4 linked regions of the Diceros bicornis minor genome follow. The protein of the gene in region 3 purifies or fractionates together with the protein of the main gene of each other region. This does not show direct contact. Links are inferred from orthologs where the notes say so. Each region holds a gene or a part of one and is shown on either strand. Other genes may lie near its edges.

Region 1 (7,276 bases), on a different chromosome or scaffold from region 3:
TCTTTGCTACCCAAATAAAACATTACCATGATTTTTAACCAATCTATGGTCAAAGCAACAAAAAGTCCTCAAGTTAGTAAGCAATTTGATGGAGTACAAATTATAGTTTCTTGATTTGCCCTCCTTTCCTCCCCCAAAAACAGCCTATGCAAGACTAGATTTCTCTTCTTCCTATCTTCGTGAAACATCGGATACATGACTTCCTCAAGGTCACAAAATAAGACAACAAATCCAGAGACATTTGTTTTTGATTCCACATCTAACATTATATCCACTGCTTAATATTTTCATGTCAGTACCCATTTAAAATAGACAGAATTTAAGGCTCCTTACAAAAGCATGACAAGAACAAGGTACCTAAAGAAAAACAAAGCAGCAGGAGAAGTTCCAGAGGAGAGCAAAGTGACCAAAGGGATTGAAGAAATTATTCTAAGACAGACAAAAAGAGTCAGGAAAGATGATGGTAAAGAGGAACAATCAAAATCTATAAAACCAGGAAAAGATAAACTCCAGCTTGTTCTAGAATTTTTCAAAACAAACTCTGGATGTGTCTTGGAACTTTAAAGAGGTTTGGGATAAATAAATGAATTGTTACATAATTCAGGGGGTGTAGAACTCATTACTTCAAAAGAGAAAAGTACAGGATGAAAACACTGTTTGAGAAAGTTTTAAATAAATTTAATCAAGATCCTGACTGGAGAAGTCAGCATAGATAACCCCAGGCTTACATTCATTCCCACAAAGCTTCTCTCAGCAGTGGCTTCAGAAACAGCGAACCCACACAGTTGTCTGGAGGAACCATCATTCTCATATAGTACTGCTTATGTTCTTTATATAAAATTCCACCCTACACTTAATGCTTAAGGTCTGTATAAATTTACAAAATGTTAACTACTTTCCTGCACCTTAATTTGGCACTCTGAGAAGATATCTAAAACACAAATCAAAGATTTTATAGACTTCACCTTTAAAATAAGGGAAGAGGGCCAGCCAGTGGCTTAGCAGTTAAGCGCAGTCGCTCCGCTACTGGCGGCCGGGGGTTCAGATCCGGGGCGCACACCGAGGCACCGCTTCTCCGGCCATGCTGAGGCGGCGTCCCACATACAGCAACTAGAAGGATGTGCAACTATGACATACAACTATCTACTGGGGCTTTGGCGGAAAAAAAGGAGGAGGATTGGCAACAGATGTTAGCTCAGAGCCGGTCTTCCTCAGTAAAAAAAAAAAGAGGAGGATTAGCATGGATGTTAGCTCAGGGCTGATCTTCCTCACAAAAATAAATAAATAAATAAAATAAAATAAGGGAAGAAAAAAATCGTTCTTCAAAGAATTAAATACGAAAAGTTTCTCCTCATTTAATAGAGAAGTATAGACAACACAAACAAGCAAAGCCTCAAGTCATTCGTGTCAAATAAAAAAGCGCTAGCAATTAGAACATATGCTACTCCAAAAAAAAAAAAGCATTTAGGAAAGGAAAAAATGTAACAACTTTTATAAACTAGTTAAAGTACTAAACGCTCTCCCCCAAAAGTTGTGATTCTTAAGAACTCAGAATTTCCTGAGTGATTAAAATCTGTTACAGTATCCTCCTGACCCACAGGAACTGGACCCCAAAAACGAGAAGGTAAAAAACTCTTGTACCAATAGGAAAATCTCTCAAGGAAGACTGTAGAAAAAAGAAAAGACTTTTACTTTCAGGGTGCACAGGGTAAAAGAGGTTCCCACTTGGGAAGCAAAATAAGATTTGCCCAGAAACAAGAACTACAGCGCTACTCACACCGGTGTACCAGGAAAAGGTATATTACAGAGATGTCCTTTGTGTGCACATATGTTCTGGCCTCCTCAATTTCCTTTTGCCAATTACTGGCAGAAAGGTGCAAGTGTCCACTCTAGAGAAAGACAGAACTCAGCGCTAAGAGAAACCTGTAAGCTTGCGTATTACACGTACAAAGAGCTAAAAGGTTCCAGAACACAGGACTACCTAATACCTCCTCCCCGCAGTGAGGTATTAGGGTACACCCTCTCATCCATACACTCCCAACACTCCCGGAAAACATCAGCAAAACTCCAGGAGGTCCCACCGGCATCCTCCCACTCGCTACCCCTCAATTCCCCCTCCCCGGCCACTCACACTTTACAGAAGAGCCGTGGCGCTGGGAAAGTGGGTTGGTTCCCTTCCTCCTTCGCACCGAGGCGGCAGCTGCGGAAGGCTCCGGCGAGTTAGTGAGGAAGAAGCGGTGCTGGTGTCGCTAAAGCAGACGGCCACTCGGGTCTCTTCCGCGCTGCCGGAGCAGAGGCGGCGGCGGCCCCGCTTACCTCCTTTTCCTCTTCCTGGGTCTCTTCAAGCTGTGTGTCCTGCCCGTCCTGGGTCACTTCTCCCGGGATAGTCAGGTTTGGGAGGCTCCGGATTTTATCTTTATAAAAGTTTCCTCTGGGCGGAGGCTGCGGCCGGCCCCCCGGGTCCCCCCCGGCCCCGCCGCCCTGGGGCGGGGGAGGGGGCTCTAAGAACTCCTCCCGGAGTCCAGCCGAGGAGTCGGGGGGCCGGCAACTGGCCAAGGGAGAAGACCCCCGAGGGGGCAGAGGGGAGGGGGAAGGGAAGGAAAGGACGGCGGCGCCGGTCCTGCTCTCCCCGCCGCCCCGGCCGCCGCTTCACATCGGGGTCCCCGCCCCCCCGGTCGGGGGGTGGCTGCTGAGCTTGGGGCCCCGGCTCATACACTCCGGGGCGAGATGCTACGGGCCCGGGAGGGTGGCCGAGGCGGCGGCGAGGTGGGGGACCCGGCCGGCTCCGCTCGGCGCCGCCCCCGCTCCCGGCTCCCGCATGTGTCGCTGCGGCTGGGCCCCCCTCCCTACACCTTGGGGGTCCCGAGCCCCGCGCCCCGGGACGAGATAGAAGCTCCGGCCCCTCCTCAGCGTCCCCTCACCGCGGAGCAGCTCACTAGTCCCGGCCCGAGTAGCCGCCTCCCTGCCCCCCAGCCGCCGGCTCGGGCTCAGGCTCGGGCTCCGGCGTGTGCAGCCGCCGCTGCCGGCCGGGAAGGTGAGGGGGGGAGAGGCGGGGTGGCGGCGGCTCCCGCTGGCCCAGCTTAGGGCGGAGGTCTTGGCGGCGGCCAGTGCACGGGGGCTAGGTCTCTCGGATGCTCCCTCGCTCTCACGCTCTTGGCGGCGGCGGCGGCGGCGGCGGCGGCGGCGGTAGCGCCCGGAGCTCAGCTCGCTGTCTCGCTCGCTCTGTGCGGGGCTCTCGCCTCACTCCAGAGAGAGGGGCGGGAGGAAAGCGGCGCAGACCGATGACGCAAGTCACCTAGCAACCGCTCTCCTCCCCCCTCCCTTGTCTTTCCGCTCGGAGGCTTCCTCCGCTGGCCTTTTTTTCTCTTTCCAATCACCCTGCCTTGGGCGACTCTGGCGCGCTGTGATGACGCTCAAAGGGAAGAGGAAGTCGGGGCTGGGCGAGCGGGTGGGTGCGACTGGGGCCGCGGGACTCGCCGCCGCTGCCGCCGCCTCTACGGCCGCGTCAGAACTGAAGAGAGGAAGGGGAGGAGCCGAGTGGAGCCTAAGCTGCCGCCTGATCTTACCCCTGACCCGAGGGCGGCGGAGAGAGCTTGCTCTTAGCGGTTTCCTTCAGGGCAGGTGGTGACTGCTCCTTTGGGAGCGAGGAGGAGGCCCAGGCCGCGCGGCCATGCTCGGGCGCACACCACCCGAAGGTGAGGCATTTGGCCCCAAATGGGCTTTCGAAAAGCCTGACTGAGCGAGAAGTTGTCCTACAGCCTGACCCTCTGCACCTGCTCCAGGGAGCGAGCACTCCACCCTTCTCGTGGTGTGGGGTGAGACCCAGCGCCCGATAACGTGTGGTCGAGCGGAGCAAATGTTTGATGAATGAATGAATGCCTCACGTGGCGCTCGCGGAGCTCAGAGGAGTTGATGGAAGTTGCAAGCGCTTTGTAAACTGCATAGCATTGTAAAGATTAGAGTTGTAATACATCTCTTCTTCCCCCCGCCCCCTCCCATGAAAGGAAATAGGGGTGCGGCTTGAGTACGGAGTCACAACCTGAGTCTTGAGTGAAAAAGGAGGGGAATTACCGGGGTGAGGGAAGGGAGCCATCCTCCCAGAGATTGTGGAAGGATTGTCGACTGTTTTTCAGGGGGAGAATTTAGTAGGGCCTCACTTTTAGGAATCGTTCTTGCTTGTTGTTTGAAGCTTTGGAGAGCTGACTTGGCTGTTAATCAGTGTCCGTTACCGTCATCAAGAAATTTTGGCCTGTGTTTCAGGTCTGACTCAAAGGCTATTTCCTTTCTAAAATAAATATTATTACTATTGTGCAGCTTTTCCTACAGATGTTATCCTGGAAGGTAAATTCAAGTAAAAACTCATGAAGTTGAAAGTGTAGTTCTCTAGGAAAATAAATTTTAGGGTAAAAAAACCAGAATCCTCAGAAATCTCTCTTGAACCTGTCGTGGTGAACAGTGTGAGAATGAGATGAAAGCAGCAACAATGATGAAAGGAAGCGGATTCCACCGTTCTGTCGCTGGACCCTGGCACACCCTACCTCCTCTAGAAGCAGCAATAATGGATATTACAAGTCTTTCCGCCTCAGGGAATAAGGAGCAAGTTTTTATAGAGAGATTTGGGAAGCTCAGAGTTTCTGCCGCAACTGCCACCGCCGCATGCAAACAGTAAACCAAGGAAACTTCTAACTGGGGAAATCCAGGGGCTCATTTTTATTAAAGTGCAGAAAAGTGCACAGAAAAAGTGATGGGAAGGTGGAGGGGGATGTTGCAGAAGCAAGAAGAGACTCACAAAGTGGCACCTGCCCACCTGCCCTTGATTCGAAGTTCCAAGAGCCAGGTTAACTATCCTGCTTAAGCTACCCTGGATTTAACTGTCTTTTCATGACCAATCCCCTGCCATGTCCTTCCAAATGAGATTCATAGGGAATCAGACCACTAAGTGATGGCCCAACATGGCTACAAAATAGATCTTTTTTGGTTTTGCCCCTCTTGCTAATTTCCTGGTGGAAATTGACAGAGTAAAACGCACAGATATAGCGGATTTTGTGAAGCCTGAGCACCTCAGATTTTAAATTCTATGGGCTTTGGATAAAAAGAGTGCAAACATCAGAGCACGGCAAACCAGCAGAGGATGCCTCCAGAAAGGTGGGTACCACGTGGGGTTTTTCAGCAGCCTGATCTGTTTTCGTTGTCAGTGGCTCCACCTTAGAACCTTAGTGCTGAGAGACAGAATGGCACTCAGGAGAGCCCTCAGCCACCTACTTACAAAGTAACAGCTGCACTGAGCTTACTGGGCAAGATCCACCCACCTCACCACCCAGCATGATAACTGGAGGAAACAGCTGGAACTGGTGACTGGAGAGGAGGAAGTTCATACATTTCCATGGTGGTCTACATCTCTTTAGTTCTTTCATTTCTTATTAATCCAGGGGAGAAAACGGTTCATTCAAAATTCCAAAAAAATCTGAAGTTTGAGGTAACAGAGTTCTTTCCCCGGTTCATCAATTTGTTTGTGATAAAGATTTGCATACTCTGTTAAAATATAACAAAGGGATATTTGCGTAGGGTTCTTTTCTCCTACGCTTGAAAGTGAGCTCTTATGAGAAACTGTTTAATGTTTTATTATCCCACATCAGTGGTTTTTACTGTCAAAGATTTCATAAGCTAAATTATCTGGCAAAATTTCTTTCTAGAAATGCTGTCTACAGTATTCAATTACTTTTAGCATTTTTATTGTGAAATATACATTAAAATGCATAAAGCAGTTATTCAGTATAATGAGTAATTATAAAAGAAACCTCAGTGTGACTCACCAGGTCAAGAAATAGAACATTGCCAGCACCCCGGAAGCCCCCCAGTGACCTTCCTGAACACAAGTCTTTCCCTCCCTTTTAGAGGTGACCATTATTCTAACTTTTGTGATAATCATTTCCTTGTTTTTCTCTATTGTTTTGTCACAAGCATGCATCCCTAAACAATATATTGTTTAGTTTTGCCCTTTATTTTGAACTTTATTAAATGGAACAACATAATTTGTAATCTGTTGTGCTTACTGCTTTTGCACAACATCGTTTTTAACCTGTACGTTGTTTGGGTTCATATAGCTGTAATCTGTTCATTTTAATTGCTGCATATTACAAATGTTCCATTGTAGCAATATGCCATAATTTATTTAACCATTCTATTGTTAATGGACATCTAGGTTGTTTCCAATTTGGGGCTGTTATAAACGCTGCTGTGAACATCCTTCATAGATTTTTTCCATCACATCTATAGTTCTGTATGGTATATACCTGGGAGTGGTTATGTGTGTCATAAACTTGAGTAAATAACACCATGCTGTTTTCTAAAGTGTTATGCTCACACTGACCATGTATGAATCCTGTTGTACCACACCCTCAACCACACTTGGTATTATCAGTCTTCAGTTTTGCCTGTCTGGTGGGTATGTAGTAGTATATCATTGTGGTTTTAAGTTGCATTTCCTTGATTACTGATGCTATTGAGGACCTTTTCATGTATCAGCTAGCCATTTGGGTTTCCTCTTTTGTGAAGTGTGTTATTATCTTTTTCATGCCTAATCTCTGAGATGCCCCATTTTCCGATATCTTTTTAGAGTACACATTTGAACAATATATTTCAGGTAAGGTAATGCTACCAAATGAGTTATATTTGGGACAAGTTCTTTCCAAAGTAAGAATAATGATAGTTTACCTAATTATCTTTTATGAATTTGATTATAAACTTCTTAAAAGTAAGACTATAAGACTATTTTTTATTTTTTTTTTGAGGAACATTAGCCCTGAGCTAACATCTGTTGCCAATCCTTTTTTTTTTTTCCTGAGGAAGATTGGCCTTGGGCTAACATCCGTGCCCATCTTCCTCTACTTTATATGGGACACTGCCACAGCATGGTTTGATAAGTGGTGTGTAGGTTCACACCCAGGATCCGAACCTGTGAACCCCAAGCTGCAAAAGCAGAGCACACAAACTTAAACCACTACACCACCAGGTGTAGTGAAGACTATTTTTTTATTTTTTTACCATCCAAAATAATGTCATGCTTTCAACTATTAAATTATTGCTGGAATCCCTCATAGTGGTTTTGGGTTTTATTGTGATTTAGTTTCCCTCAAATATGTAAAGACAATTTTTACTCTCTTGAATCTATGTAACTAAACTCTATTCTTTGCTGCTTTGTATTTTATAGCCAACTATGTAACAAAGTGTTTCCCCAGTACACTTTTTTTTTTTTTCATTTCCCAGGTTCGTTCAT
Region 2 (7,792 bases), on a different chromosome or scaffold from region 3:
CAGGGGAGATGGATGGGGCTTATTGTTTGGCATTGATGATGTCCACGAATTCAGGCTTGAGAGAAGCACCACCCACGAGGAAGCCATCCACATCAGGCTGGCTTGCCAGCTCCTTGCAGGTTGCCCCAGTCACAGACCCTGGGAAAGGAGAAGAGAGAGGGAATGGTCGGGGATGGGATGGGTATACTCCATCTCTACCTCCACATCTAAGGAGCGCTCAGTCTAGTTCTCAGCCCACCCCACCTCAGAATGGAGCCAAACCGACTTACCTCCATAAATGATGCGGGTGTTCTGAGCCACTGCATCAGAGATGTGGGACTTAAGCCATCCCCGGAGCTTTTCATGTACTTCCTGGGCCTAGAACAAGAAGCCAGACTAAGTAAGACTTTCTGCCTTTCACTCAAAGGGGAGAAACCCGGGGTACCAGTGGAGAGAGGCAGTGTGGTTTTGGGGCAAGAACCCTGGGATCTAAGTCAGAACACAAGGGCTCCAATCCCACCTAGGCCTTGGAATGGATGTCCTTGGACAAGTCACTCTCCTTCTCTGGGTTGAGGGCCTGTCTTTAAAATGAGAGGGTGGCCTCGATGGTCTCTGTGACTGTCCAGTTAAACAAACATAACCAGCACCACGCCCTTCTCCTTAGGAGGGGCTATAAAATAACAAACCTCTTTCCACGGCAGGGGAGGATGAGGCAGGGGTCCTGGGGTGGTTACCTGTTGGGGTGTTGCAGTCTTGCCAGTACCAATGGCCCACACAGGTTCATAGGCCAGGACAACCTTGTTCCAGTCCTTCACGTTGTCTGTGGGACAGAGATCACAGATGGAAGGGTGAACAGTAAGGAGCTCTCCAGCTCCTTTCCCAGAGAATGAACAACAGTGGTGGCCTACTGCCTTCTGGTGGCTGTTGAAGAAACTCCAAGGGGCATCTATACCATCAGGGGCAGGAGCAGAAGTGATAGGGAGGATGCAAGGGTTCTGACTCCCCTTTCCTTTCCAGCAAGGGGATCAAGTCAGGCTGGAGGGCAGTGGACCCCACCCTCTGTGCCTCCGTGGCCCTGGTTAGGCTCAAAGATCCCTTTCTCCCGAGATACCTGCGATGACCTTGGTTTGCTCAAAAACAACCTTCTCAGTGATGCCAGCTTCCCTCTCATCTAGCTTCTCCCCAATGCAGGCGATTACTCCAAGTCCCTCCGCCAGGGCGTGGGCCACTTTCTGCCCAATCAGCTGTTGAGGAACACACTTGGTGAGACACCCCTCTTGGAATAAGGCATCTCTTATCTCCTCTCCTGGTTACTAACCTCATCTGACTCCCCGAAGACGTGCCTTCTCTCCGAGTGCCCCAGGACTACCCACGTGGCTCCACAGTCTTTGATCATGCCAGGGCTAAAGGAAGAGATAAGCCCTGGTTCAGCAGGGAGCCCACCCTGTGGCCTTCCCCTCAATGAGGAAAGTGAGGGCAGGGTCCCCACACACCACTCTCCCGCCTGCATCTCACCTGATCTCTCCAGTAAAAGCCCCATTAGCCACTTTGTAGCAGTTTTGTGCAGCCACAGCGATCTTCTGATCTAGCTTCTGCCGGGCGAAGTCAATGTAGGCGGTGGGGGCTGCACAGACCACCTCTGAGGAGAAGATGGTGGCACCGGGGGATGAGATCACAGGAAGCCTTCATTCTCCACATTGCATCCTGGGCTCTGGAGCCCCCAGCCTTCAGCCTCTTTCTTAGTTCTGCTTTCCCCTCCTTTTCACTCCACCAAGATGATCTGTGTCCACTTCCCAGCCCAGGCTGGGCCTGTATCCAACTCCTTGGGCCTTCCAGGTGCCCCTCAGAGGCCACGGCCCTCGCCTTGCCCTCTGCTCTTTTAACAGCTGTGGCTCTGATTTCCCGGGCTATTCTGGGCCTGGGCACCTCCTAGACTCAGCATTCTCTGGGGCCAACCCCGCCTCCCTTCTAAAATAGCCCATCCCCATATAGGAAAGGCAAGGCAAGGATTTTTACCAAAAGCAGAAGGAGCCAGCTCCTGGGGTTTGTACTGGGGTCTCTGGGGAATAAACCAGAAGGGGATGCCTCTTTTGATCAGGCCCGTGGTTCTATGATTTAGGTGGGTGGGAGGAGAAGGGCTGAGGACAGCACTCTCTGCCCGTGCGTGGCAGGGAGTGGACTGACTCATAGAGCCCTTGCGCTCTCCCGTTTCCAGGAGAAAACGGAGAAAGCTGTAGGATCGCTCCTTATTCCCAAATGGCTCAGCCTGTTTGGCACCTGCTCAGCCCCTTCGGCAGAAAGCAGGAGTCATCCAGGCTGCCGAGGGGAAACGATCAGTGCGCGTAGGCTCCGGAGGCCGAGGGAGCTCAGCGGGGGCCTGAGCAGGCAGCAAGGCGCGGGGAGGAGCCTCGGGCTACGTGCGGCGGCGCACGGAGCCGGTGGCCGGGGGCAGGTAGCGGGAGGCCCGCACGCGCGCTCAGCCTCCTCCCCCACATTCGCAGGCTGTCGCCAACCTCTCCCAGTCGCCCACAGAGGCTAGGCTCCGCTTCTACCCCCGGCTCCTGGCTGGTGCAGCCCCAGTCCGCGCCCGGGGCCATCTTCCTCCCGATGACCCAAGAAGTCCTTTCCTGTCCCACAGTCCGAGGGCACCATTAAGTGGGGCCCCACCTTTCTCTCTCGACGCACCCCTGATCCTGCGGTTGCGGGACCAGGGGCGCTGCGGGGTCAAGGCCCGGACCCCCAATAGTCCTTGTCCCCATCCCTGCATCCAGGCCCACGCGGACACCCGGCTAAGAGAGGTCGGGAGAGGGCGCTCCCACGCCCGACCCCCCCAACCCCGGCCCCGACCCTCCCAGGCCAGGGCTCACCGGTGTTGGCCGGCAGCTTGGCCGCGTTCAGAGTGCTGATGAGTTCCCCCAGACTCTTCTTCCGCCCGTTCATCTTCCAGTTCCCCCCAACGAAGAACTTCCTGGAGGGCGCCATGGCGCTGGGACCGGCACACTGAAGGTCAGTATCAGCGCGCAGCCGCTGCCACGGCCCGCTTATGTAGAGCGCGGTGAGGCGGAACTCCGCCTCCTGCCCGTGCTCGGCCATCCTCGGCCCGGCCCCTGCCGGGAAGCCCTGCCCCCTGGCCCCGCCTGCGCGCCCGCCGCCGGTGTTGCAATGTTCTAACGTTACCCCCTTTCTTGTAGCAACGTTCTAGGGGCGTCCGGGGGCCCAGTCGCTTCAGCCTCAATTGCCTGACTTTGGGGAGAAGGCGAGAACTGTAAGCCCCTGTGCTCAGGGGAACCCCTACTCACCACTGCAGCCCTCCAGAGGCCAGAGGTGGTCCCAGGGGAGCTAGCCGGCAGGTCCGACCCCTGCTTGGCCTTAGACCACACTGCTCGGGGGACTGAGAGAGCTCTGAGGGTCATCTCTCCAACTCTGGGAAAAGGAACCCCCTCCGCCCATCGGGGTACAACTACATCCCCGACTGCTGAGCAGGAACCTTTGACCGACCCAGGGAGTCTAGCCCCACAGTTACTGGTCAAGTAAGAGGGTTTAGAGGGGGAGGGACCGCCCACATTGGCATAGGAACTGTGTAGCTAAGAAAGAGGCAGTTCAGAGTCTACAGCCACCCACTCCCCACACACACACCAGGAGTAGCCCACTCTGCTCCAGCTGGCCAAGGCCTGACAAGACTGCAGGGCCTGGAGCCCAGGCCCAGGGCTCCCTGGCCTCTAGGGACATTTGGGAAATACCCACTTAGGCCTCCTCTTCTGTGACTGCTGGAGGAAACCGGCATTCCTGTTAGCCCCAGGGAAGATAAGTCTCTTCCAAGGTATCAAAGAGGGCACAATTTAGCCATTGTACTTTTATTCACATCGTGTATTTTGGCATTTTCCAGAGAAGGACAGGGAAGAGACAGGGTGGGGGAAAGACTGAGGCAGGAGAGCGAGGGGGCCCCCATTTCCCTCATATCCCTCCTTGACCCACCACACAGGGAGCAAACACAAAGGGGGAGGGGAGGCACGGACACCCCCTCCTGCAGAAGAGGCTGCACAAAGCTACACCCAGGCACACACACACACACAAGCCCCCCTCCACACCAGGGGCCGGCGGGATTACACAGGGAAGCAGAGCACTGTGCGGTCAAGGGTCAGGGAAAGCAACAAAGTCTCCTCACACACAGGCGCCGGCCCTCCGTCCCCTTCCTGCTCTATCCCGAGTCTCTCGAGTGCCCACCCACTTTGCTTGGCCATTTTCCTATGGCCTCTAGCTTCTTCCCTGCTGCTGGGGACAAAAAGAAAAAGGGTACAGAGCAGGGGGTGCTGAAGTCCAGCCCTCAGCCCTCAGCCCTCATGCCAGGTGGTCTGTCCCCTGCCCTCAGTGGTAAGGGGTCAGAGGGCAGGCTCTTAGCTGGCCACTCGCTGGTAGAAGTAGATGTAGCCCAGGTCCTTGGGTGGCTTCTCAGAGGCACACACTTTCTGGTCATTGTAGATCACCCATCTGGGGAAGTGAGAAAGGAGCGGAAAAGGAGGAACAAACTGGGCATTCCACACTGCATCAACTCAGTCTCTCTGACATGGCCCCTGGAGATGATCCTGGCGATTCTGGGGCAAAGGCTCCCAACATTCTCTGACTGGGCCCCCAAACCTACAGTCCAGCTGCTACCTGTCTGAAGGGAGCATCCCAGTCTCACAGGGGTCCCTTCCCTTCCTCACTGTCTTCAGATCCTGCAGTATCTCTACAGCTACCCCCCACCCATTTCTGTTAGGCAGGGGTCAGCAAACTTTTTCTGTAAAGGGCCACACAGTAAATATTTCAGGTTTTGCAGGCCATCTGGTCTCTGACACAACTACTCAACTTTCCTGTTGCAGCGTGAAAACAGCCACAGACAATACATAAATGACTAAGTGTGGCTGTGTTCATTAAAACTTTATGTATAAAAGCCGGTGCCCAGACTCAGCCCTTGGGCTGCAGTTCGCCAATCCCTGCCTTCAGGCATTGTCAATTCCTGGTGTATTTGCCATCCTTTACCTCCTCCCACAAATACTCCAAGGACTTCCAGGATGTCCCCACTCATTCCCACCTCCACTCCCCCATTCAGAATGCACACTGCAGCCCCTCCCTCACCTGCCTTCCTTCTTGATGTGGCAGACGTAGTGACCACACATGGTAGAGGTGCCCATGTGACTAATGAAGGCAAAGAGCTGATACTCTAGGGAAGGGGAGACAGAGGGCAGAGAAGACAATGAGAGAGGAATCCTTGAGTGACAGTCCAAAGATGTATCTAACAGCTCAAACTCAGGACATGAGGGTCAAGGAAGGCGGGGCATATATTGGGTCAAAAGTCTGTCTCAGCCTCCTAGAATCCCACCTTCAGAAGTCACGTTCATGGAAAAGCTTCTGACCCCTCTGCCCCCTGAGGGAAGCAGAGCTGCCTTGGAATGAGGATCTGGCGTAGCAGACTGGCTAGATGCCACCAGGCCTGTTCTGTTTCCCAGGGACACTCACTTCCAGGACCATCCCGGACTTTAGGTCCCACTGGCACAGACTCAGAGATGGAGTCGGCAGCTGAGCGGCCCTCCGAGATGTCCATAGCAGCTTCTGCATCGAGGTCATCAATGTGACTGAAGATCCAGTCCACAGCCCGTTCTAAACTATTGTTCTTGGAGAAGAGGGAAGCATTACTGTTTGTAACAAGTTCGTGGCAAGAAAACTACCAGTGAAGGCCTCAGCTCCTTCATCACAGCCACAGAAGGGTGCAGCCCTGGCCTTGGCAATACCATTCCAGTTGTCCCTGGTCTTACTCATGAAGGATGGAACCTCACTCCCACCTCCTTCTTCCCCACAGGCTCCCAGTCCTCAGCTGGGGGCAGCCCATACCGTGGCCCGCAAAGCTTTCAGGGCCTGGTCCCGGGAGAAGCCCATGGAGACAATGGTGGTCACACAGTCCTCTGGAGGGGGGTCAGCTGCTGCACTTATGGAGCCAGGCCCGCTGGAGCCAGGCAGGATGAGGGGGTTTGCAAAATCTGCAGAGGTGAAGGGGTTGAAGTGTTTAGGGGAGCATAGTGGTCTTGCCCCGCCCTGCTACCCACCCCTGCCTACCTGGATCGTCCATGTGCGACATGACCCAGTTCATGGCAGCCTCGGCCCCACTGTTGCCTGTGTAGTAGACAGCTTTGCGGCAGGCATCCATAGGGAAGCCCATCTCCACCAGCTGGATAATGACTGATTCATCCAACATGGGTGCTGTGGTGGGAGAAGTGTGGGCACTGTGACCTGTCTCCTTGGGCCACTGTCTGCTCCTCCTCCCTCACACAGTCCAGCCCTCTAGCCCTCTTTCCAACCACTCATTCCATGCATTTTTCTTCCATGGCCTGGCACCTTATTCCAGAACTAAAATGACAACACAACATAATGTGGGTCCAGCCGTATCCTAAAGGTGCAGGACTGAGGCTAAAGATCCCCCATGGATCCCCTTCCTTGCCCATTCTCACAGAATGGGCCCCGTTTCTGGAGTATGGTACCCGCCCCGACCCCCAACCTGTGAGGTAACAAGGGTAGAGGTGATTAGCCAGTGCGACTGCCATCCACACAGAGAATGTGGCTGGGAGTGCTCTAGTCGCTCCTCACATCCATCAAGCGGGCAGAGGAAATGTGAAAGGGAGGACAGGAGAAATGCAAAGGACAGGGCCACGGGGAGGCAGGCAGAGAAGACCCATGTCAGCAAGGGAGAGAGACGGGCAGGAAGAAGAGTCACTAACATGTTGGAGAGGAGAAGTGAGGGGAGCAGAAGGAGTCTTCGTCTTCGTTGCCATAGAAACCAAGGCTACCTTTGGGCTCATCCGGAGTGACCAGGGGTGGGGCAATGTCAGGCAGCTCCTCCTCTCCAGGCTGCAGCCCGGCACCCCTCAACTGGGAGATGTCCAGCTCCTCTGGCATCTCAATGGACACATCTGTAAGTGGAATGGCAGGCAAAGGGTCACCTCAGCAGCTTCCAGAGGCCCTCCCTGAAAAAGCACTTTGGAAATCTCCAGCCTCTTCCCCTTGTCTTGGCACTGCTCTATAGTAAGGAGCTGCACAGAGCAGTACCAATCTTAGGGGTCCCAGGGTAATAAAAATAACTGTGGGCCTGGGAGTCAGGAGACCTGGATTCTAGTCCTCGATCTACCACACTTGAGCTCTGGGCAGGGAAGTGGGGCTCCAACCTGTGCAACAGAATGATTCTATACTTCTGTAGTCTCAACTGATGGAGGAAATAAAGTTACATCAGCAGTTCTCCAAGTCGTCAGGGGCCTCTGAGACCCATAAGAATGAATTGTTTCAAGATAGTCAAAATGAAAACATCTTATCAATCACAAAAATAAAACAATGAACATCACTTTTGGTTGTAAATCATAACTATAAAATCAAAGAAGTCTTTTAATATTTTTAGTCAGTGCTTTTCAAACGAGACACACTTTGAAACATCTAAGGTAATATTTTCTCCTTTCAGAGGAAAGTTTGAGAAACACTAGTTTACATGTGTTAAGGCCCCTTCTTTTTCTAGCATTTTCTGCTTAACCTCCCTTGCTCATCCCAGCCACCATACCCAGTTTCTTGGGCACCCAGTCTAAGCCGAAGGTGAACTTCTTGATCTGGATGACCAGGTAGTCAGGGAATGAGGCAAATCGTGTGGTCCTAGAGAAGAGAGAATGTCCTGGTACCCAGAGAATCCCAAGGTCCTCCTCTCCTGAAACCCCCACCCTGGGGTTCAGCTTCTCGTGGGTAGAAGACCTAATCCCCCAGAAGATTCTCCATATTCTTATCTTGCCCTGGGCAGGCATCA
Region 3 (8,058 bases):
GCCTGAAGCTCCTTTTCCAACCCCACCCATTACGTCCATTTGGAAAAAAGCTGAGATATTGCTAGAGGGAAGACCAGGCTCTGAAGCACTAGATTTTTCTCAAAGTCAAAGTGGGGGGGAGCTTTTAAGCGTCCCCATTCTCTTCTTTTTTCACATGGGCAAACCCCTCCTTGGGGCACTTACAGCCAGGTAGAAATAAGAGCCTCTGGAACGTCCCAACACCCAAAGGTAAGAACTATCCCAGATCCCTGGTTTAAGAGTGATTCCTGGAAACAAAGATAAGAGTGCTATAATTACACTCGCACTTGCTTATCTCTTTCCTTTTCAAGAGAGAAAGATCCATCCTATCACACCATATCAGCTTAACTGGTCACAGCAAGCTGTGAAGCAAACCAGTGATGGGCCCTTTTAGGGACAAGGTATCGCCTTACTCCCCTACCTCACTGACCTAGGAGCCAACCTGGCTTGTTTTAAATACCAAGAAGCAGCAAGATAAGGACTCCCATGCCCTACAGCACCCCCACACTCCCCCAGCCAGGAAGCACAACCTACCAGCATGTGCCGATCAGAAAGAAAGGCTTTTACAGTAAGACTTTTCTTTGCCTAAGGCCGTCATTTTTAAAAAGTTTTAAAAAAATGGCATGTGGTGGAAGGAACTATAGTAACAAAGGTGGCACATACCTTTTGAGGTACAGAGATCAACCTCAACAGTGGGATTCCCACGAGAGTCGAAGATCTCTCTGGCATGGATCTTGAGGATAGACATGGCGAATTTCTGTGGGGAAACACAGATCATATTTTCCACAAACCATAATGCAGCCTCAGCTCATTCATTCAAGGCATCACTTCTGAGAACTCCTAGACTTGAAAGAATCTGCATTGGACTAAATACTGGATGTAGGAAGGCTAACTAGAGTGGGAGAGGGCCTGCTGGAAAGCAGGAGGAATTGCTCCTAAAAAAGTAGGTTGGGCCCAGCTCTACAAGGCCTTAATCCCCAGCAGTTCAGGTCTCGTCCTATAAGCAAAGCCTGAACATATATGACTGTACTGGGGAGCAATCAAATACAACGGGAAAGATTAACGTGTTGATGGCATACAGAATGGCTGAAGAGGAGGCAGTCTGAAAACCGGTTATTGTCATTAGTTAACAATGAGGGTTGGCATGGCAATGGAAAAAGACCAAGGGGACATGAAGGTCCCAGGCAAACCCATCTAAGATAAAAAAGGTGGGGTGGGGAGGGAACCAGGAGGAAAATTTGGTTTGTAGTGAAATAGTGAATTAAAAGATGGGGACATAATTCATCAAGTTAAACTTGAGGTAGCAGTAGGATGTTCAACTGGTAGATATTAGATAATTAGAAATTTTCAGTTTGGAGGCCAGGAGTGAGCTCCTTGGTCTGTGCACTGTGATCTTTGCCACTGCCAATTTCCAGGGCTTTCCAACCGCACAGTACTTGAGTCTTTAGCAAGACAGGACACGTTAATAATGACATCTAATTAGTATTTCTTTCAAAGGGCATTTTACTCCATTAAAAAACTCAACTATGAAATGTCATGATTTGTAACTAGAGGAAAGATTCTATTTTTGAAAATACTCCAAGGAAAGAAGCTTCCTTTGAAAACATCTCAAAAAAAAAAAAAAAAAAAAAAAAAAAGGTTTGCAGCTACAAAGTGCAAACAGCAAATTCTCAAAGAAAGGCCTTTTCCTTCCTTCTCCCACCGGCTCTCCAAGGAAGAAATGAATTGAACAACGTGTAGGACTGAAGTGGATGAGAGGAATTGAATTAGTGTTCAGAAGCCATTATCTAACTGGGCTCCCCCCCAATATCTTCTCTGGAATGTTCTGAAGCAGAAAATGGCATCATTTTTTTTTCTTTTTAAGTTTCAAAATTAGATGCTGAAGTCACTTTTGTGGCTTTATTTTCTATGTAACAATGGAGTTTTATTCATTAGCCAATAAAAAAATATCTAGTTTTTATCTACTATCTTACAAAAAGGCAAATTCAGTCAAACGTGTTTTTTAATTTTAGTTACCTTTGAGTTTTGGCAAATTATATACCTGTGTAACACATTTGTCACCCCAAGAAGTCCCCTCAGCCAGTTTCCAGTCAACCTCCCCCGCCCCAAACCAACTGTACTTGATGGATTTCAGATGCGCTTTAAAGCGCATCTTGATTACACTACCTCAGCATACAGCTATAGGAACTCATCTTTTATCTCATTTTAGTGACATAAGACAAAGTAATTAACTTATTTCATGATGTGAAAATAAAATCCAACTGATCTTTATATTGGATAGAAAAACTATTCTCCGAAGTCATTAAGGGTCAGGGAGAGGCTGGTCTGACCACACGGCTTCACCGCTTTTTGTGTGTCTGGACGGAACCCCGGACCACGAGCAGCATGAGTGGACCGGGCGGCCCGGGCCTAGGTGTGCCCTGGAGGCAAGTCAACCGACGGGCCACACAGCCCAGACCACGCTGCAGAGAGAGAGGTGAACAGGAAGTTTCCTCAAAGTACACCTTTTTTAGGTCAGATCAGGGGCCGACTGCTGGCGGCCAGCCAGGGGCGCCGGGAGCAGCTCGTGCCCGACCAGGGCGAGGTCGCCTGGACCGCTTCCCAGCGATCCCCTGGCTCAGCTGCAGCCACTCAAGAGTAAGCATCTTCTGGAGTTGTAGCCACTGCCCATGTCGGAGCAGCAGCTTCCTGGGCATCTCTCCTTTCCCTGCCCCTGCCTCGACTTTAGGGAGGGCCTGGCTTGCATGAGCACCGGGGTCAGGCCTGGACTGCTCCCCAGAACCTTCCCCTCTCCACGCCTGCTCTCTTAAGTGGCCTGCGCCTTCTGGTCCTGACCTCCCAGCACAGTTACGCGGCCCTGCAACTCCGTAGTCACTTGTTGAGCAGCACCCTCCCCTCCGGGAAAAGCAGGCGCCGCGCCCCGCCTCGGGCCGGGGTGCGCGACTCCGGCCGGGGACTCGGCTCGCACGCGCCGGCCCGCCCCTTCCACGTCCCCGCCGAAGCTCCGGGCACGCCGTCCGGGGAGCAGGAACCCCCAGAGGACCCCGCGCCGCCTGCCTGGGTGCGGGCTCGGCAGCCCTTCCCCGAGCACTCACCTAGCCGCCGGATGTCGCGCCCGGGAAGAAGCAGAGAGTGCTGCAGACACCGAGAGAAGCGTTAAGCCAAAAGGCCTGCGCGCTCCCAGTCCCCTGAGCTCGTCTCCGCGCCGCCCCTCCCGACTTCCTGCCCAGCTCGGGAGACCCCGCCCACTTCCCGCCCCCTGCGCGACGCCTCGCCATTGGCTCCCCGCGCCGTCACTCAGGGCCTCGCCTATGGCCGTCACGGCGGCGGGGACGGGGGGACGATGACCTGGGGGGATGGGGCGGGGCTGGGGGGCACCTACTGCACCGCGGCTGTGTGGGGGTGCGGGCGAGCCCCCTCCCCGCGGGGACTCCCTGGCCAAGCAGCGTCTGCGGCGCCGGGGCCCGGGGGCGGGGCGGGCTGGCCCGGCCGGCATGAGGGCTCGGGGCTTCGTCACGTACTCCGAGTCTTGCACGCACACAGCGTCGCTCCGCCGGCGCACGCCCGGCCCACGACCTTGGTGACGACCTTCGCGGCCCGCCCTGCCGGCCCTTCGCCCCCCTGCCCCGCAGCGTGGTGCCGGAGACCCCGTCGGCCTAGAGACGTTGGCGGCCGCGCGCCGCGACCCCGCTCCCGGGCCGCAGAGCCGCGTGCTGGGGGCCACGTGCGCCTTCCCGCGCCTGCGCGCTGCGCCCCGCCGCGCCCCCGGCCGCCCGCCGAGGTGACCCCGACCCTTTGTCCTTGTGCGCCGGTCAGACATGAGAGCCAGGTGGCTGAGAGGCAGTTCACTTTCCTTTAGTTACAGCTAATACTTTTTGAGCGCGGCCTGCGTGCCAGGCACATCTCCACGTGCGCCCCAGAGTTAATTCATTCAATAGCTCTTGTTAATGTTGCTTTTTGCAAGGAGGCTTAATATCCCTCGCTTTGCCCCCGGGGTAGATCAGATGTGCCTGGATGCATGTGAACCATCGTGTATAATGATTTGGACAGGAATTTCACACAGACCCGGGAGATTTCTCAAAGTTCAAACCAGATAATATTCCATGGTAGTCTGGCAAATGAAAACCAGGAAGGGGCGGCTGCAGTGATTTACCTTTCTGTTCAGGAGTTGATACTCATTTAAAATCAGTCCTGCAGCACATCCCCCGATCGCTTCCATTTCTATGACAGTTATATTTCTCAGCATTCGTCTTGGTCTGTAAGTCTGAGAGCTAAAACAGTGTCAGACATTGTTTTACATCTCCATATTTTCCACATTGCCTTGCATAGAGAGATTCAAATGTGTATTTGAATTTAATTCCTATTTCTTCTGGCTAGCTGCAAAAACTGTTTTTCTTCCTTCCCTCCTGGCATTTTTATCTCCCCACCTACTGGCTTAGGTTTCCAAGGCCTTGGGTAAAGGTGATGGTCTGTTGAGCCCACGGTATTTGTTCTCCGTTGACTAAGAAGCAGGAACTTTAGGATTAAATTCAGCAAAAAAGCAATAAGGAAATTGTAAAATATTTCACTGAAGAATTAGATGAATTTTGCAAGCAGAGTTGATGATTTCACCAGCAAGATGCTAATGTTTCAGACTGCTTAAAACCAAGATCCCAGCCCCATGACTCAGCAGCTAAACCAACAGCCAACATTTCCTAAACCTTAAGAACTTTACAGAAATCAGACACTTAGAGCTCTTATTTTCAGAGCAATTCTAAGGCGTGGCCCTGAAAGGGCTCCAAAACAATCTCTTTTATTTTACATTAAAAGGGTTAGAGAGATAAAGATAGAAAGACACGACTCTTCTAACTGCTCTCTGGCCAGAACCAGTGAATCGAGCAGGAAATCAGATGCAGAACATGATCTCAGACAGCTGCTGTCGCAAGATTCTGGGAGGCCACAGCACAGTGTTCTGCGCACTTTGACCTCAAATTGTAGCTCAAATGTTAATGATTGGTAGAGATGCCCTCAGGTCTTTCCCCAAATCCACAGGCTGCCAAATGCTTTTCCTGTCTCCACAGCTCCTGAGGCTTTGTTAACAGGTGTGGGGCTCACATTTGCCTGCACTCCAGTGCAGGGGCATTTACCTTGTTACAGCTGTTTTGTTATTATTTGTCACTCACAGTACAATTGTTGAGCAATTTCACCGCAGTGGCATACCAAAGGCACTTGCCTTGCTGGTGGGCAGGAAGAGGAAGTGAGTGTCCAAGGCTACTATCAGAAGACCACCTGGGGAAGCACTGCAGGTAGCGCCTGCAACACATTTGCAGGTGGGCACCAGGGTTGAGGGAAGGAGAATCTGCAGCATCCTCTGACCCGCCTGGGTTACAGATTCTGTCTGTGGGATGTGCACCCCTGGTTGAAAACTGCTGGTCGACTGAAAAAGTGACATGCCTCTTTGGAAGGTGGGTCTCTAGCCAGATAGGAAACTTCAGGGTTGAATAAGTGGCCCAAGGGAGGAAAGAGATCCTCTGAGAGCCGAAGGCCCTCAGGGGATGCAGGTGGATGGCCCCTCCTTGTGATCGTGAGGTTTGTGTTTGTCTGTCATCATTTCACATATGCCAAAGACTACATAAAGTGTATCTGGTGTAAAGAATAATAAATGAACGTCCGTGTACCCACCACCAGCTTAAGAAATGGGACACTGGCAATGCCAGTAAGGTCCCTTGTGTATTCTTAGGCCACAGAGGTGATCACTACCCTAAATTTTGTGTTTATTATTCCCTTGCTTTTCTTTATGGTTTTTAAATACAAATTTTGAACTTTGTATAAATGGCATCATGTTGTTTGTAGCCTTTTGCTAGAATTCTTTTTTTTGCTCAACTTGACATTTGTGAGCTCCATCCCTCTAGCTGTGGATGGTTGGTTTTCAGTGCTATATAGTATTCCATTGTGTGAATATCACACGTTTTCCTGTCAGTATACATTTGGATTGTTTCCTGGTTCTTTTTTTCTTGTTACCAACAATGCTGCTATGAACTTTGTTGCAAATGTCTTCTGAGCACAGGCAAGAGTTTCTCTAAGGCATATACCTAAATCATACACCTAGATGTGGAATTTCTAGGTCATGGGTATAAACATCTTCAACTTTGTTTTCTTTTTTTTTTTTTAATTTTTTAATTTTTTATTTTTTCCCCCGAAGCCCCAGTAGATAGTTGTATGTCACAGCTGCACATGCTTCCAGTTGCCGCATGTGGGACGCGGCCCCAGCATGGCCGGAGAAGCAGTGCATCGGTGCGCGCCCAGGATCTGAACCCGGGCCGCCAGCAGCGGAGCCCGCGCACCTAACCGCTAAGCCACGGGGCCGGCCCTCAACTTTGTTTTCTAAAGTATCTGTACCTCTATGCGCTTCCCCCAGCAGCCTATATGAGTTCTGACCCAGCTTTAAAAAGAATCAAATTCAGGGCTGGCCCCGTGGCTTAGCGGTTAAGTGCGCGTGCTCTGCTGCTGGCGGCCCGGGTTCGGATCCCGGTTGTGCACCGAGACACTGCTTCTCCGGCCATGCTGAGGCCGTGTCCCACATACAGCAACTAGAAGGATGTGCAGCTATGACATACAACTATCTACTGGGGCTTTGGGGGAGAAAAATTAATTAATTAAAAAAAAAATCAAATTCAGCTCTTCCCTTGCATTTTTTTCTAGAAATTTGATGGCTTCTCAATTTACCACCAAGTCCTTCACTTAAAGAAACCCACGTGTCCTCTCTGTAAACTGCAGTCAGCATTGTGCCTTTATGATGGCTTTGAGGGCACCTCTTAGGGCCTCCCACTGTCAACAGCCCCCTCCCCGCCATCTTCAAAGCTGACCTCACAAAGTCAGGAAGTAGGGATTGGGCAAGGCACACGTTTGGGAAGACAGAAGGGAGGCAGCACAGTATGGTTTTTAAACAAAGTCATTGCTAGAAGGGCATGTATCAGGGGTGCCCAAATGGGAGGAGTAAGTAGTAGGGGGATTAAAGAAAAAAAAAACCCAAGGAAGTCAGGGAAGCAAGGAGCAGGCACCCAGCGAGCAGAGATCTCCTTGGAGGAGCTAATGAATGAGGGAGCCAAGTGGAGACTGAGTGGGGCTCTGAACCAACAGGAGAAAATCAGAGGAAAGAGTCTGTATCTTGTGTCAAAGAGCTCTGCGTGGATCCTCTTGTGCCTGAGCTCATTTATCTTTGAAATGGGTGCAATAATACCAACCCCAGGAGGCAGTCTTGAGCTGTAACACCCCAGGTGGCTCCTATCATCAGTTTGGGAGTCATTACTGAATGCTAGAATGGAGGCCTGGAAGGCACTGATGTCTCTAAAATAGCAGGGGCAGTAGGTCCCCAGAGCAGTTTTCTTTTCATCTCTGTCTGTTCCCACCCATTCTGTCTCACAGTTCTTATGGTTGTCATTTGAAGAGGACCAGGGCGGCTGCAGCCGTGGGCCCAAGAAACCCTGATCTGCAGCCAAGAGAGGGCTCCCCCTGCCTGTCCGCTAGGCCGGCAGCACTGCTAGAGCAGGAGTGCAGGACCCTGCGATGGCCCCACTGCAAAATGCGGGTCACTGGAAGGAAGGAGCCGTCAGATGACACAGTGCGTGAGCTCCAGATGGAAAAGCAAGAGCCAAGTTCTCCTTTCAGAAGGCACTGGCCCCTTGTGATTCACTGAGAGTAGGGTTTTTGCAGAGGCTTTGCGTGGACCACAGTTAATGAGAAAATTCTCCCTCCACCTATCACAGAGATGTTACTGAGGCCTTATCGCCTGCCAGGTATAACTCGTTGAATCCTCATGACAAGTCCATGAATAGGTTCCATGTGATCTTCTCCACTTCTCAAGGCACAGAGAGGCTGGCTGACTTGGCCAAGCCTGCAGCTAGTGAATGGAGGCACCGGGGGACCAACCCAGGCAGCCTGGCTCCCCGCCCTCGCCCCCAACCACTTGGCATTGGCTCCTCCAAGATGAAGTTCACCTCGTCTGTGGATTTGAATGAGAGGCCACAACACTAAACTTAGTCCAAGGAGCCTTCCCTTAGT
Region 4 (7,630 bases), about 770 kb from region 3:
TCGCGCCGGGTGGGAGCAGAGGCGAAGCCGTCCCCAGAGCCCTTCACAGACGTTGGTGTCAGAATTTCCCCCCTTGCGCCCGCCCCGCCTGAAATGTCAGGGCTCGCCCACTCTTCTCCGGTCTCGCCGACCTAACCTTTCGGGGGCTCCGGAGGGGAAATTCGTCTTTTCTGCCAGACCTCGCTAGAGCGTGCCCTGAACCCAGCCTTTAGTGGATGTTCAAAAATACATTTATTCCATGTTCCAGATGGCTTCCTTATGCCCAGTAACTTCAATTTATTCCCCCCCCCTTAGTAAACAAAACAAGTGAAAATAATAATGATAACTTCCCCCTGCGCATACAATTACTCATTCACTGTCTGGTGAAATGAATTTGATGTGGCAAATAAGAGTAAAATAGGAATAAGAAATTGGTTGAAATCACATCGTGAACTGTAGTGTTCTACAAAGGAGAAGTATTAATCTATACGAGAGGAAGGAACATCCTAGAGGGTGAAATTAGGGTAGGAAGTATTTATTGAGCACCTGCTATGTGCCAGGGACTGCAATAGATGTTAGGGATTCTCCAGTGACCAAGACAGGAAGGTCCTATCATGGAGTTCACAGGATTGAGGAGAGACAGACAATAAATAACTAAACAAAAGAAAATGCTAAAATAATTGCTATCAATGAAATAAAAGGATATATTCATAGAAAACGAGTGTTACTTAATAAGATGAAATGCAAGATATCTGACCCATAAAAAATAATTAATAATCTGGCAGCAGTTTCTTTGCTATTTATTGTGATCAGGCTAATTCTAGGCAGAGTTGCTTTTTGGGACCAGGATCAGAAGGGCCATGGGGCTGCTGTTGCTAATGTAGGGGAGGCAAAAACTTTACCTCTACCTTCCTAGGGTCTCTGGCTGGGCCTGAGAATTAAATTGACATAAAAAAGATTAACAGGAGAAAAGCATATAAATATATTTAATATGTTTTACCATGACCTGGGAGCCTTTAGAAGGAAATAAAGCCTCAAAGTGGCAAAACCCAAATGCTTATATACTGGGTTGAACAAAAAGTGGCAATTGTGGAAAAATATCTAAAATAAAATGGAGAAACTAAAGGATGATGCGAGTTACTTTAACAAGGTCTCTTTGTACAAATTCTGCCAGACTCAACTCCCTCTCTGGTGATAAGAATGTTTCTTTCCTCCTGGCATAGGGAGGGCAGTTCTCACATGCAAGTTTCATCTTCTGCTTTCAGGAAGAAAAAAAATGGGAATCAGAGTGCCTTTCTTGAACCCGCTGTTTTCCAAATTCCTCTAACTCAAAATAATCAGTATGCTAAGGTGGCATATCTGGAGGTGGCATGTCCTGTGTTCCTTCACTGACATTATCAACAGCATTTCTCCATTGCTGGACTGTGAGCTCTACAAAGCAGAACAGCATCTCTTAATTAAATGTTCCAACTGCTGCCGGAAACTGATGATTTTAAGCTCCTTGAAAATAGTCTTTTAGTTTGTACTTCCCACAGTGCCTAAAGACTTGTCAAATATTGAATTAAAAATGTAGTGGATCAGAATGGGGTGGTTCTACCTGGAAATAAGGGACTGAACTAGGAAGTGTCAGTGTTTTCTGGTAAATGGTTTAAATTTTTGGCTTTGTTCTATAAATGTGTGATGAGAAACAGACATAAACTCTAAAGTTAAGAGACTGTCATGAGTGTTGCTGACTTATTAATAAGCAATACTGATAGAATCTATGGTGGGTAGAGTGTGAAATTTGGCATCAGAATATCTGAATTTGACCAAGACTCTGCAGGACCTTATACAGTCATTTCACTCTTCTGGACCTCAACCTCTGCATCTGTGAAATAAAAATTATGTTAATACCTGCCAGGAAGTCAATATATAAAGTCTAAAACCAACAGATGAAAAATATTTTTATGTACAGCATTAGCATATTGTTTAAAAATTAGCATATTGTTGAAAAATACTGAGATAATTACCGTAAGAAATACTTTAAAGAGTTGAAAATATTTGCCTCTGGAGAGCAGGGCTGAGGGGTAGAAAGTACTGAGTTAGAAGGCTGCTGTCTTTCATTATGAGCCTTTTAATGCTGTATCAGTGAGCTACTGCTGTGTAACAAAATCTGAGTACTTCAGTCTGCCTTTAGGCTGTGATGATCTGCTTCAGGTACGGGTACAGGTTGACTGGGGCAGCTCTGTTCCACGTGTCAGTTCTGAAACCCAGGCTGAAAGGGCAGCAGCAACTTCCCTGGGGGAAAGCTCTTCCTTTTCAAGATGGCAATGCAAAAGTACAAGAGAGCAAGCCTAATCATCATGTCAGTGTTTTTCAAGGCTTTGATCAGGTCATGTCTGTTAACATCTCATTAGCCAAAACAAGGATGACAAACCCAAAGTCAAAGGGCAGGAGTACCCTCCACTCCCGCAGGCGGAAGAGGAAAGAGTGAATATTTCTGAAAAATAATCCAATCTACCATAAGTAACATTTGAGTTTTTAAAACCGTGTGCAATGGATTCATTTGATAAAAATTAATGCTGACAGGTCCATTTCAGATCTCGATGGTAATGCAGATGTCTCAGGAGTGTTAACTCAGGTTCGTTCTCTCTCTCTTTTGCTGCTGAACCATCAGTCTTGCCATTTTTATTTTGCTGTGGCTGTCTCATGCTGCAGCAGGCCACCAGCATGGTTGTTTCCTTACAAGAGTTTATTGTGAGGACTAGAGCAAAACAGCCTGTCTTCTCTTGCTTTTCCTAAATCCCTCTTTGGTTCTTGAAATACATATCTGACCACTTGCCTCCTCTCCCTCTCTGGCCCTCCTATTTCCCATGCTCTTTCAAAGCTAAAAAGGGGTGGCTTTTGCCTGCTTCCTTTGCAAACAGCCAAGGGTGAAGTCATTCCAGACTCCCAAAACGTTGTCTTCTTAAAATGGGAAATGATTAAAGACATTTAAATTTTTTGCACAAGTGCAGATTATTGCATAAATGAATCAATTTACAATTATTAAAATTAAATAAAAACCGCTCTCACCACCATTGTAAGGATCCCATCAGATATACGAAAGTACTTTGTAAACCAACAAAAATAACATTATTTCTTGAAAATAAACGTGTTTTTAATATCTAAATTGAAACTTTAAAAACACTTGACGTCTGTAAAATACTAGTCTCATGTGTTACCGGTGAGAGTGCTCAGTGATTCAACTTGTATGGAGTTGCTCAAATGTATTTCCCACTTCTGGGAATTTTCCCTCCAGGTATATCTGCACAAGGACAGATGAATGTCATTCAGCACAGTGCTGTCTGTACAGAAAGTGACTGGAAATAACCCGTTATCGGTAGGGTACCGGTAAGTAAAGTATGGAATATACCTACAATACCATAGTATCTATGGGGGGGGGGAGGAAGTTCTTTTTGATATGAAAAGATCTCCAAGATATTCACTTAACAAGGTGGTGGCGGCGGCAGGAGGGCAAGTGCAGAACAATGTATACAGACTGCTATATTTTTATGAGAAAGAAGGAACATAATAGTACATATTTGTGTGTGCTTGTACTTACATAAAGAAATACTGGAAAGATGCCCAAGAAACTAATAATGTTATCTGTAGGGGGTGGGGATGGAACTGGATGGGGACAGGGCTAGGAGCCCGTCTGTTCAATGTAACACTTATCACTTTGGTTTCTGAAACTAGTGATAAGTATCAATATTCAAATACTTTTAAAAATATAATTTGAGATTATAATTTCGGTGAACTTAATTAATCAAGTACTTGTTAGACCTATGTGCTCAGCACTGCGCTAAAACTGGACGCAGAAGCAGCACTGAGATCCTTAAAAAAACAACTCTGAGAAACGAATGCACGTGCAATTACCGCGCGTAACTGATGAGGCTCACAAAAACGAGGGACGGGCGTGGGCGAGATAAGGCCGGAGGACCTTGGAGAAAGAGTCCTAACAGAGCGGAGGCGACGCGGGAAGGTGACGAGGAAAGAGGAACAATGCAAAGGGAGACAGAAGTGCACAGAGGAAGCGTGAAAGAACAACTCCAATACGTGAAAACGCACGTCGACAGCAAGCCACCCCACTCTCGAGACGCGCATTGCGCAACTGGGCCGCGGCAAAAAAAAAAAACGGGGTAAATCCCGCGGGCGCCGGGGGCAGGCCGGGCCGTGCCACTCGCGGGGGGGAGATTTCGTGAGGATGCGTGAGTCCACGGGATTCTCGTGGGGCTGAGTGTTCCAACTGGAACCATCCTAAGCGCACAATCGGGAGGCCCAATGGCAGGCCGTCCCCCGCGGTTCTCCGAGGTGGGTTCGTCCGGATGTGACGTCACGGATGCGAGCGGCATGCGCCCGCGCAGTGCGGGGGGCGGGGGGCAACGAGCGCTTGGACAGCGCGCGTCTGCGCAATGCGGCACTGAAGAGCCTTGCCGAGCGGCGCGAGTCTGCGCACTTTGGGGGCATGAGGGAGGCGGGGCAGCGCGCGTCTGCGCAGTGTGGGGGGATGAGAAACCAGGCGGCTTGCGTCTGCGCAGTGCGGTACGCGTGCGTGCTTGCGTGAGTCTGCGTGTAGGCCGCTTCTGGTTTCCCAGTCCCGGCGCAGAAGACGAGGGCCCGCGTCTGTGGGAGGCGAGGCTAGGTTCGGGTCGGGGCTAGGGGAGCGTGCGCGTGCGCAGGCGGTGGCCCTGTGGGTCGAGGGGGCGCCGGGCTTGGGAGGGGGCCACCCTCAGGCGGGTCCCCGACCCCGCGCGGGGCTGTACGAGTGCGGCTTTCTCTTGCCAGCGTAGCAGCAGCTCTGAAGCTTCCAGAATTGTGTACATGGCGTCCCAGCAGTTTGGAACTGCTGGTTAAACCTGTGATTGTTGAAGTGGATTTATTAAAATCCATTTTGCATGGTCACCAATTCTAGAAAATAGTCTAAAAATTCTTCAGACCCTGGTTTAGCAGCTTTCGTTTACGATGAGAGCTAAGTGCAAAGAGAGGGAATTTGGTTGGGTTGCCTTTACTTAGGGGGATTCCCATCTCTCTCCATTATTAAAAAAAACAGTGTTCAAATATTTAACACTGTTAACTCCCTCCAAATTTTTAGTATAGTTATTGGAACTAAAAAAAATCCCCTCCAAAAATCTTACAGGCTAATTGCTAACTGTGTATTTAGTTTTTTGCCCGTGAAATTTAGTTCAGTCGCATCCCTATGAAATAGTACTTCAAAGAAAGGCTGTCTCCCCGCATTGTGTGAAATGCAACTTGTGTTTTAGAAAACCTCATTTACAATATATTATTAAAAATTGAATTTTAAAAAAACAAGGTAAAAGAAAATCTAAACAACACTAACACGCATTAACAACCTTACTGTGTTTTCATCTCAAAAAGACAGCATTTGAAATTGTGCTACGTAAGCCAATATTAACCTAAAATGCATTTTTCATATTCAGTTGTGTTTGCCTATCAGAACCTTTTCTCTAGGAGGCACTTAGTTACTCTGCTTAAAAATATTCCTAAACTTAAAATTTTTGGCTTTTCCAGGGTTGCAGTGAATGTTTTTTGAGAATCTTTTTTTTAATTATTTTTTATTAAGTCTTTAAAAAGTACAGCATAGAAATGGCTTCAAAAAGAGCTCTGGTCATCCTGGCTAAAGGGGCAGAGGAGATGGAGACCGTCATCCCTGTAGATGTCATGAGACGAGCTGGAGTAAGTCCCTCAACGTTTTCTAGCCCTCCTCTCTTTTAAAACATTCTTGGATTTTTAAAAATCATTTTGAATAAAATCGTAGTCAGTGTACTTTATGAAATATTTCAAATGTACACAAAAGTATGGAGACTATATAATAATAATTACTTATTTATTCACTGTCTGCATTTAATACTTGTTAACATTTTCTCATGTTTCTTTCAGACCTATTTCTTGAAGAACAAATGCTTTAAAGAAATAAAGTGTTGCAAAGCCCTCTTTGTAAATTTCCCCAATCCTTTTCTCCTTCTGGCCCCAGAGATAACTGCCATCCTCACACTGAAGTGTATCCATTCCATGCATGTCTTTAAAGTAGTATTAGCGTGTAGTTCTCATTTTGCATGTCTATATTATATATCTGTATATGTGTATGTAACCATAGTGAACAATAGCACGTACTAGTGTCATTCTAAGCACTTATATAAACTTGTTTAAATTTTACAGCAACCCTATGAGTTATTGCCATTTCATTTTATGGTTGAAGAAACTGAGGCACAGAGACACCAAATAAAGTGTCCACACTGTAGAGTTAGTAAGTAGAAGAGGCAGTACTCAGGCCCTGGCAGTCTGGCCCCGGAGTCTGTTAACCCAGCGTTCCTCTGGTTCTCATAAGTGAAGATACATATAGATCCAGTTTGTTTATTTAAAATTGCTGTTTAGTGTTGCACTGTATGAACATGCCCACAGTCCATTCTTCTGTTACATTGTTTCACTACACTGTGTATTACAATACTGTATTACGTTACAATGTAATATATTACAATACTGTAATATTCTTGTCCGAGTTGCCATGTGCAAACTTGTGGAAGTTTTTCCAGGCTCTCTGCTTAAAAATGGAATTGCTAGGCCAAAGGATGGTCCATAATTGGCATTGCTAGATTTTGTCAGATGACTCTCCAGGGTACCAATGTGTGGCCCATCAGCAGTGTAGGGAAATGCCAGTTTGTCCAGTACTGGCTCTTGGTACTGTCAACTTTTTTGTGAGGAAAAAGTAGTATATTTTCTTAGCTTGCAATTCTGCTTTAAGAAAATACCATAAGGTTTAAATGGCAGCAGTAACTTTGCAAGATGGATTATTAATAGGATGATCATATATTTTATTGCCCAAACCAGAACACTTGTGGGAGAAAGGACACTAACCAGAGAGGGCGCAGAGGCAGCATCTGTAAACCAGTCCTCTCCCGGGCAGACTGGGACAGACCTAGTTATTAAATATCTTTAGCCAACTTATTAGCTAAAGTCAGCATGGTTTTGTTGCAGTATTTCCTGCCAAGTTATTTTAAAACACAGGGCAGCTGTGAAGTGTTACTCTAAATTTATGTTTCTGTATTCTTAAATATCATGATGGTGTCTTTTTCTTAGATTAAGGTCACCATTGCAGGTCTGGCTGGAAAAGATCCAGTACAGTGTAGCCGAGATGTTGTCATTTGTCCTGATGCCAGTCTGGAAGATGCAAGGAAACAGGTGTGTTCTCCATACTTGGAATTATTCCTTCCTGTGGCTTTTTTATCAGTTTCTTGAAATGTGTTTTGACTGCATCTAAGGCTGTGGTTAGCACAGACTTATTTTAAGAAAGTTACTATGCTTAGATGTCTTCCCCACTAAACTGAGCCTTGGGCAGTCGAGGACTTTGCCTTTTCCACCCTGTGTTCATGGAACCTGGCAGTTCCCTGATACGGCATGTGCTCAGTAAGTGGGTGGGTGGGTGGACAGGACACTTCCATCAGGATTCTGCTGGCTTACACAAGCAGCCTTGCCTCCTGGTATAGCTTTGTTACTTGATATGAGAGAAGCAACTGTCAACGTTGCCTGTTCGTTTCTTATTCTTATTCGAAAGCAGCTTTTTACCTTTTCTCTTTTAGTGACACAGATGTCATTGTGTGACTCATTTTATGTG

Evidence for each region.
Region 1: the proteins of ENO1 (region 3) and FBXW7 purify together in Homo sapiens (affinity purification with western blotting; 3 studies listed by BioGRID, with this or other methods). This does not show direct contact. The link is inferred for Diceros bicornis minor from reciprocal best matches to the Homo sapiens genes ENO1 and FBXW7.
Region 2: the proteins of ENO1 (region 3) and TPI1 fractionate together in Homo sapiens (co-fractionation; 4 studies listed by BioGRID, with this or other methods). This does not show direct contact. The link is inferred for Diceros bicornis minor from reciprocal best matches to the Homo sapiens genes ENO1 and TPI1.
Region 4: the proteins of ENO1 (region 3) and PARK7 fractionate together in Homo sapiens (co-fractionation; 3 studies listed by BioGRID). This does not show direct contact. The link is inferred for Diceros bicornis minor from reciprocal best matches to the Homo sapiens genes ENO1 and PARK7.

The regions. Positions count from the first base shown.
Region 1 is NC_080750.1:40,825,951-40,833,226, forward strand, and holds the start of FBXW7 (F-box/WD repeat-containing protein 7), read right to left. Parts: upstream 3,175-7,276; 5' UTR 2,132-3,174; intron 1-2,131. UniProt on the Homo sapiens protein: Substrate recognition component of a SCF (SKP1-CUL1-F-box protein) E3 ubiquitin-protein ligase complex which mediates the ubiquitination and subsequent proteasomal degradation of target proteins.
Region 2 is NC_080756.1:54,878,371-54,886,162, forward strand, and holds the start of TPI1 (triosephosphate isomerase), read right to left. Parts: upstream 3,088-7,792; 5' UTR 3,073-3,087; coding exon 2,847-3,072; intron 1,619-2,846; coding exon 1,495-1,618; intron 1,383-1,494; coding exon 1,298-1,382; intron 1,224-1,297; coding exon 1,091-1,223; intron 800-1,090; coding exon 714-799; intron 358-713; coding exon 270-357; intron 139-269; coding exon 20-138; 3' UTR 1-19. Other genes in the region: USP5 (ubiquitin carboxyl-terminal hydrolase 5), read right to left, coding at 4,374-4,467, 5,095-5,179, 5,476-5,629, 5,848-5,993, 6,070-6,213, 6,729-6,920, 7,556-7,644. UniProt on the Homo sapiens protein: Triosephosphate isomerase is an extremely efficient metabolic enzyme that catalyzes the interconversion between dihydroxyacetone phosphate (DHAP) and D-glyceraldehyde-3-phosphate (G3P) in glycolysis and gluconeogenesis.
Region 3 is NC_080752.1:28,557,458-28,565,515, forward strand, and holds the start of ENO1 (alpha-enolase), read right to left. Parts: upstream 3,194-8,058; 5' UTR 3,114-3,193; intron 776-3,113; 5' UTR 767-775; coding exon 682-766; intron 1-681. UniProt on the Homo sapiens protein: Glycolytic enzyme the catalyzes the conversion of 2-phosphoglycerate to phosphoenolpyruvate. In addition to glycolysis, involved in various processes such as growth control, hypoxia tolerance and allergic responses.
Region 4 is NC_080752.1:27,789,231-27,796,860, forward strand, and holds the start of PARK7 (Parkinson disease protein 7), read left to right. Parts: upstream 1-4,569; 5' UTR 4,570-4,642; intron 4,643-5,581; 5' UTR 5,582-5,604; coding exon 5,605-5,694; intron 5,695-7,095; coding exon 7,096-7,197; intron 7,198-7,630. UniProt on the Homo sapiens protein: Multifunctional protein with controversial molecular function which plays an important role in cell protection against oxidative stress and cell death acting as oxidative stress sensor and redox-sensitive chaperone and protease.